Linked DNA regions of Schizosaccharomyces pombe. The gene in region 2 interacts genetically with the main gene of each other region. Each region holds a gene or a part of one and is shown on either strand. Other genes may lie near its edges.

The links.
Region 1: mutations in taf51 (region 2) and spc2 together harm fitness more than expected from each alone (negative genetic interaction), as found in Schizosaccharomyces pombe (one large-scale study listed by BioGRID).

What each region holds. Positions count from the first base shown.
Region 1 is NC_003424.3:3,862,456-3,865,508, forward strand, and holds spc2 (signal peptidase subunit Spc2), read right to left. Parts: upstream 1,050-3,053; coding exon 546-1,049; downstream 1-545. Other genes in the region: protein Sil1, read right to left, coding at 1-280; ribosome methytransferase Hpm1, read left to right, coding at 2,068-3,053. UniProt on the Schizosaccharomyces pombe protein: Component of the signal peptidase complex (SPC) which catalyzes the cleavage of N-terminal signal sequences from nascent proteins as they are translocated into the lumen of the endoplasmic reticulum.
Region 2 is NC_003423.3:3,031,628-3,036,631, reverse strand, and holds taf51 (transcription initiation factor TFIID subunit taf73), read right to left. Parts: upstream 2,926-5,004; 5' UTR 2,752-2,925; coding exon 1,279-2,751; exon of another isoform or gene 1,223-1,278; coding exon 767-1,222; 3' UTR 693-766; downstream 1-692. Other genes in the region: pho2 (4-phosphoerythronate phosphatase/2-phosphoglycolate phophatase, involved in detoxification of glycolytic by-products), read right to left, coding at 1-270, 310-378, 426-504; SPOM_SPBC15D4.13C (ASCC1 family protein), read left to right, coding at 3,410-3,743, 3,810-3,871, 3,922-4,140; protein mug98, read left to right, coding at 4,503-4,536, 4,575-4,882.

The DNA.
Region 1 (3,053 bases), on a different chromosome or scaffold from region 2:
CAAATTTTATATCATGAGCCAAATCACGCATTGTTTCTAAAGACGACAACACAATGCTTGGGTCTGAAGTATCAGGATTTAAAATTACAGAAGATGACTGATCGAACAACTGTCTATCGTAAAGTGAAACAGATGAATCTGAGCTTACAGTCCTCACATTCAAAAAAAGGTAACATATTGCAAGAAATAGATTCGACAAAGAGAATGTTAAAGTAAAAAAAATTCTGTAAATTTGAGTATTTCTTTTCTTTTTAGACGAGTTTCCCAGAATCGAAAACATTGAACCGATTAATCTCCAATTTTTTCACTCCTGTTAGAGAGTGGTTTATGGTAGGATAGATTTCAAGAAAAAAAAATCCATAGCATGATTAGGCAATTGCCGCTGGTAAATGGAAAACGTAGCAATAAAATTCATGTTAAAAAATAAGAATACGATACGGACGTTGTGGCAGGCATGGAAGCCTTCTAACGAAAATGTAGTAATTGAGTATTTCGCTTTTTGGCAACAACTCAAATTGAGAATTGATTAAAAAAATTGAGCTCAATCAGTTTTCAATTTGAGACAAGTACTTTGAAATTTCCGCCTCAAAAGTTGCACTTGATATTTGGCCATCTTCTTCAAAAATGTGAGCAACAGGAACCGACCATTCAAGTTGAACAGCATTTCTGTTTTTGAGTACGGTAAATTTAGTAGTGATTAGAGGCTTATTTTTCAAAGGTAAAAAGGTATCCGCAGAAATTTTGATGTGTCTTTCTTTTTTCGTAGCAACATAAACAGTACTACCCTTGACTACAGAAGACCAAAATGTGAGCAAGCAGGAAGCTAGGAAATATAAAGGTAAAAGATACTTTAAGTAAGATTTTAAAACACCAAAACCATAAACATACTCAATGCCAAATGCGAGGCCGGCGGGTATAATGCAAGCTATTGCGATCAGCAAACGAATATCTTCAAATACAAAGGATTGCTTATAACCATTTTTGTTAAAATGGTTTGTTAATTCTTTATCAAATTTAGATTTGAAATCTGAAACGTTATATTTTGGCATTTTTACTATTAGCTTAATTATGGTAGAGGAAGCAAGGCTGTAGTTACTGATGATCAGATATGCGGTTTCGTTGATACGATGGCATGATGATTTTTTAAAATTAAGTAACCTAAAAGATGTTTTAATATTTAATATAAATGCCTGAGAGCAAAAACATGAACTCCGCTACTGGAACGAAAGCAAAACAGTCGATTACTAAGTACTTTATAATACTATCATGCTCTTTCAAATACAACGAGCCATAAATTTGAAATAATAGCCAAATAAAAAATATATATGGATTCTCAATAGAAATTGGCGGAAGGGTTTCATAACAAATTAATTTGGTACAAAATATCATGCTCATTTCCTTGTCTCGATAATAATATCAGAATTGCAATCGCAATGACTGTTGAAAAGGATTATGAAATGGAAAATGTTGTTTGAATGTAGCAGTACTTGGCGTTTAGTAAAAAAATAGAGGAGTACAATATTGATATTTCCTTTCGCAAAACCTGTTTGTTCCAATAGTGATATCCCTCGATGAACATATTCCTCGCTTTTATTTATTCAATTTTCACTCGCTAATTGTAAGTTATTATGCAAATGAAGATAAGGAACCCGGTACAAACCGTTTAACAAGCAATTGCTATTTTCTATAGGAAAAGCTAGATTGCAAAAACTACAAAGCATATTGATTTCGTTTGATACAAATGTTTTTTAGGCAAGACAGAGCCACTTGCGAGGGCTCCAATCCTAAATCCAATTTCTGAAATTCGCCTTTTTTACAAATAAAATGTATGAACGAATTTGAAAATGGAACTTTTCTCTCTATCCACGAGTAATGATTAATTAACCATTCAATAAACTTTTAACCTTAATTCATTGTAATTACTCTTTCTTTACTCTTCACATTGGTTTTGCTATTTTGTCTACATGAACGAGTCGTACCGCTGTACGCAAAAATCCTACACTAGGATCAAGACATACAATTTCTACTAAAGCCAAGACAGGTTGCGAAATCAATCAACTTGCAAATATGCAAGCTAATGGGTTTTCGTTTGGCTTTTACGATGAACCAAACAATTTAAACGGCCAAGATGTCGGTGCGGATTCGTTACCGAGCGTTGCTATAGAATCGGATTCTCTGGGACATATGTTGAAGTATATTCCAGAAAAGTTATCATACGCTCGTGTTTCTGGGTTAGGACATACGTTTGTACAAAGGGAATTATGGGATGTGAAAATGCAATTGATGGAACAAGATGATTCCATAGAAAGCGACGATAAACTCAAAGTTTTAGATGGTTGTAATGATCTTGTTCCTAACGTTTACGAGGGTGGTTACAAAACTTGGGAATGTAGCCTGGACCTTGCTAATGAAATCAAGAAGATAGATGTTGTAAAAAACAACTTGACGACGGTCTTGGAGTTGGGTTGTGGAAGTGCAATTCCTATTTTGAGCTGTTTTCAGGAATTTTACAAGCATCGTATCCCTTGTACTTTGGTTTTCCAAGATTTCAATGTTGATGTTCTTCGTTACGTTACTTTACCTAACCTTTTGCTAAACTGGTACTTTTGTACTCAAGAACATGATTCTTCAGAAAAGCATGGTACCATCGATGTATCCCCTAGTTTACTACAAGAATTTAGTGATGATCTTGCTCGTACCAATATCTATTGTGAATTCTTGTGCGGTTGTTGGAGCGAAGAGATGCAATTGTTAATCCAACGTACCTACGGAGATCACTACTTTTCTCTTGTTTTAGCTTCTGAAACCATTTATTCCCTTCCGTCACTCGAAAACTTTCTTTACATGCTTCTCAAAAATACCAAAAATCTCGCATTAGTTGCTGGTAAGGATTTGTATTTTGGAGTCGGGGGTAGTATCTTGGAATTTAATTCGAGACTGCAGAAACTTGTTGATGACCCTAATTCTCTTAAAGCAATTAAGACATCTACTCAAAATGTCGGGAGATCCATTGTGTATTGGGAAAAGGAGTTTCCTCCTTCTAATATTGATTC
Region 2 (5,004 bases):
CAGAAGCTAATGCACGTCTCAACGACGGGTCCGTTCCACCAATATGAGCAACCCCTACTCTATCAAGCTCATCTTCGATACCTGCTTCTCCAAGTACAAAAACTTTCTTATCGGCAGGAAGCTTTAGCACTTTCTTTACATAAGTAGCTGATGAATAAGCACTAGGGTAGATTTCCTCAAGTTTGGCTGCAATACCGTGTTCATTGATTTTATTCATATATGTTTCTCTTGATTTCGTAGAATTGTTTGAGACAAAAATAATTTGTTTTCCTGTAAAAGAGTTAACTCAAAAGAATAAAAGGGACTTACCTAAAGAACGAAGGAGCTTCATGGTATCCGTAACTCCTGGTATAGGCTTACTGCCGCTCCAAAGTACACCTGCGTGTTAGCCTACAAATAGATTTCATATTTTTGCTAGCGCTTACCATCACAGTCGAACAAAAAAACATCGAATTTATCAATGAATTCTTTATATTCCTTGGGTGATGAAAGTTTTTTAGCCATTCTTAAAGTTGGTTAAAGTGGTAAGGTGGTAGGCGTTCGACATATCCGTTATATTTATAATCTTCGGTTAGATGTTCCTTTCTGATAGTGATGATCGACTTCATATTAAGCTTAAAACTTACATCTTCTTTACTTTACGAAACCTTATTGCGTATAATTGTATTTTAAAAAAATATGAATAAATTTACAAATATCAAAGTTATCGTTAAAATAATATATCTCTTTTTTTCACAAAATTTGCGGGCCATAATGTACATGATATTTAGGAAGAGCTTAATGCTAGACAATAGTTTCTTCGAGTAAAACTTAAGTTTTGTATAATAGTATTTTTGGTTTTAAAATTGAATAAAAGCGGGGACTGTTCGCCGTCCGATAAGTTATTCCGGTATGTCAAATCCCAAAAGTTAACATCAGTATCTGCACCTCCGGAAACCAGAATTTTGTTATCATATGAAAAAGAAAGAGAATAAACGATACTAGAGTGTTTAACGAATGAAACGTGCTGATTACTACTTCTGAGATCCCACACTTTTATTATGCCCGATTCATCAGCAGATGCCAACGATAAGCCATCAGCAGACATACACAATGCAGAAACAGGAGAATGATGGGCATTAAACACGCGAACTGTTCCACCAGTGCGAACGTCCCACATTCTAGTTGTATGATCACTAGATCCTGTAGCAAGATAAGCTGCATTCGGATGAAATGAAACACACTAAATCAAGGTTAGTTACTGCTCATAAGAATTGTTAGTTAAATAAAGTTCCTTACATCCACATCATTTTGATGTCCAACAAATACTCTCAAAGGTGCTGCATGCTCAACATCCCATAGACGTGCTGTTTGGTCGTGCGAGGCTGTTGCAAAATAATAGCCGAAAGGGGAAAACTGAACGTCCCAAATCGGCGCATTATGACCAGCATATTTGACAATAGTGGACTTAGTATCCTTGGACCACAAACGAGTAAAGCCATCCTCAGAGCATGACAGTATAAACTCTTTTTGAGGAGAGATGCTCACTCCAAAAACTGGTCTCGTATGTCCAATTAAAGAGGACTTTTGTAAAGGCTCATTTTGACTTCCCACTAATGGTTGCGGACCATTGTTAGTAGAACTGTACAAATGAATTGAAGAGTCTGCGCAACCCAGAGCGAACATAGAGGCGTCATCAGAGAATGCAGCACAATTTACAGCGGAAAGTGTATTGTGCATGGTATACATGAAAACACTAGGATCCGTAGCATTTTTTCCGAGTATTAAAGAATTCTGTTCGCTTTCCAGTAAAGAAACAAAATAGTCTATGTCCTTCATTTTGGTTGGAGGTAATGGGGGATCAGATGGTGATTCTAGAGTTGATTCGTTGATTAGATTTTCTTTTTCAGTCAGCAATTCGACAAGGTTCTTTGCAGGATGCAATATTTTATTCAGAGCTTCATTTCTTCCCTCCACGTCTTTATCTTTTACTTCTAACAAGTTTTTTAAAGTTGTGACAACTTCTTCTGACAAGGGACGTAATCCAAGTTGTATGCTTTGCTTGTTGTAATCAAGAAGCTGTTCGGAATGGCCAGGAATTCCTTCTTGCTCACTAATTATTGTCTGTTCATTTTTAGCTTCGTCCATTTCATAGACCGCTTGCACATTAGGGTCCTCCTTGCCCTCGACTTGAGGCATAGTAATTTTTATATCAATGTACTGATTCAATAAGCGAATTATTATTCCACTTCCATTGACTTCGTTTTCGAACAAAAACTGTACTAGTAAATCAAATGTAGACCTCGTGAAATTAATCCGGTATTTATTTTTGCGATAAAGCTGAGCTATTTCTATCTCCTCAACGTCTGATGCAATCTTCAACTGAGCTAATGCTCGAATGTCATAGCCATGCAACACTTCATGCTCTATACGAAATGATTCAAAGAAGTATATTGCCATTTCGGGATCATTTTTTTGCAGTAAGTCTAAGTAAGAGTGTACAAAAATTGGATAAAGGACTTTTTGTAGTTTTGGCTTATACAAATCTAATGTACCATCAATCCAATCTCTTAATAAAATATAAACTTGTACATAAGTTTCAGAAGCACCGATGTGCCAGTCTTGCTGTTCTTCAGGAATTGCGCCAACACTGGATATTTCCAACCGAAGCATAGCTTCAGTCCTGGAATAACCCTTTTTAAACAGATAGTCCAAAACAATCTTGTTTAAATCTGAAGTTGAATTACCAGAAGAGTAGGAAGATTGAGCCATTTTTAGTAGTTAGTCATGCGTTTACTTCTTTTATACGTGTGTCGACTGCCACCTAGGTATTCGAAGTGTTAAAAAATATCTTTCGGCTTATCACGTTTTCAGAAGAATGTATAATATATTTTTCTTCTATAGTTTAACAACTTTTAATAATTTTGTGGTGGTGTTGAATAGTCCATCTGGCATCCTTAGTTGGACTGTGTATCTAAACTCAAACGAAGCGTTGACTCACCATATCTAATAATTGCAGCTATCTTTCTTATTTTTTTAAGAATTGGAATTGTTGATATATATGTATGATCAAATGAACTGCTTCGCATTTTATCATCTAAAGATTAGACTAATAAGTCTACCGATTTTAGGATTTGACAACTTAATATTTCTTAATGACGCTATATGAAATTCGTTAATTCAGCAATAGTAAATCAATGGATAGGATGAAGAACAATTTTCGTTTCAATATAAACGACGTTGTTAAACATTATTATTAGTACAGCCTGATTATTGTTATGTAGTCAATTTTAATTACATTATAAATTTGTAAGTGATTTCCTCTTACCTCATATTTCATTAGCGATCAGTGAATTTTGTTTGAGCCGCAGAACAACTTTCCGTAAATAAATTACTTTGAATACTTTGCCATAGTAATCTGTTAATTATTATGCGATATCCAAATTTGTTATTCTTGGCCTTACCGATATCTGAGCACTATATCGAGGAATCTTTAAAGTATTTTAAACTAACATCTAATGATCCCATGATATTATCTGGATTTCGTGGCCCTCGTGTCTCACATCTTACTATTGGTATGATCCCGGTTAAAAACGACGAAGACGTTCTCAAGTGCATGGATTTTTTATACAACAAAGAGGATGAAATCCGAAAATCCTATGGCGAGAAAAAGATTACAATCGATTTAAAGGGAACTTCTTTCTTTGGGAAATCTCCTCAGGAAGCCAAGGTGCTGTATGCTACTCCAGTGGACAAGCATAATGGTAATGACTTACAAGCCTTTTGTGGTACGGAGTTTTTATTTTTTTTATTAATAAGCTAATTCATAGAATGGTTAAAAGTTATTTTCACTGAACACAATCTTTTTACTAAAGACGCTAGACCTCTTACTGTACGCATTATGCGATGTTAACCAAATTATAATTTTGCTAACAAAACTAGCTACACTGCACCTTGTTAAATTCCAGGTATATAAAATACCAGGGGCGACGTATCAGGTTTTTTAATTCGGAACCTTTTATGGAAAAATACGGTCAATTTCTTTGGGCTCATAATATTGAACTTGATAAACTAAGTATTATGAAAACAGGCGCTGTTGGAGAACCGGGTAATATGTATTATGAAGAGTTAGCCTCAATTCCTTTACTCGTTAATGATTGATTATAAAGGTAGTAGTTGTTGTTTACAAAAACGCTTTTGGAATCGATTGTTTACCACATGATAGTCACATGTGTAAACAAATATGAAATTGGTCATAGAAGTAATATCGGTGCAATTTATAACTCATTTTGTTTTGACGAAGCACAAATATATAATATAGCTCCTTTTACCATCATTTCTCGAAATTGATTGAAATTTTGGAAACTATTCAAATTATTTTGAGATCCTTTATTATAATTGATTTCACATATACATGCTGATAATTTGACAATGGAAGACAAAATTGAAGGTAATAAACGAACCATTCACATCTTTTAACACATCTCATAGTTTGCTTGCAAAAGGCTATTGCTGTCGACACAATGAGCATTCCGGTAATGCAGTTAAAGCATGAGCGTAAGTAGACTAATTTATGTTAAATTATTAATTATTAGTTGCGCTTAAAGCCCGAGAAGAATACCTCCGAAAAGAACTTCCTTTGAAAGTTCGAGCAAATACTTCTCGCATGAACCCCGGAGCTAAAACTTGGATTCCACAAATTAATCACCGAAAAAGTAGAAATCATTATAATCGTAAAGAAACATGCCAGTTTCCCCCTCTATACAATGTTGAAGCTAAAATAAACCATTCATATTCTGCGTTTTATCGTCCGTTTACCAAACGTGAGAATGGTTTGTGGTATGCGAATCCGTATTATATGCAGCATGGTCCAAACGGAAATTACCATCACGTTTATTATTAGTCATGTTTTCAAAATTTTGTGCCAATTTTTTCAATTTCATTCAAAAACCGCATCTTCATCATTATGGTTATAATCGACGCCGTTAAAAAACCAGGAAAAAGAATTTCATAGTCTTAATTTCT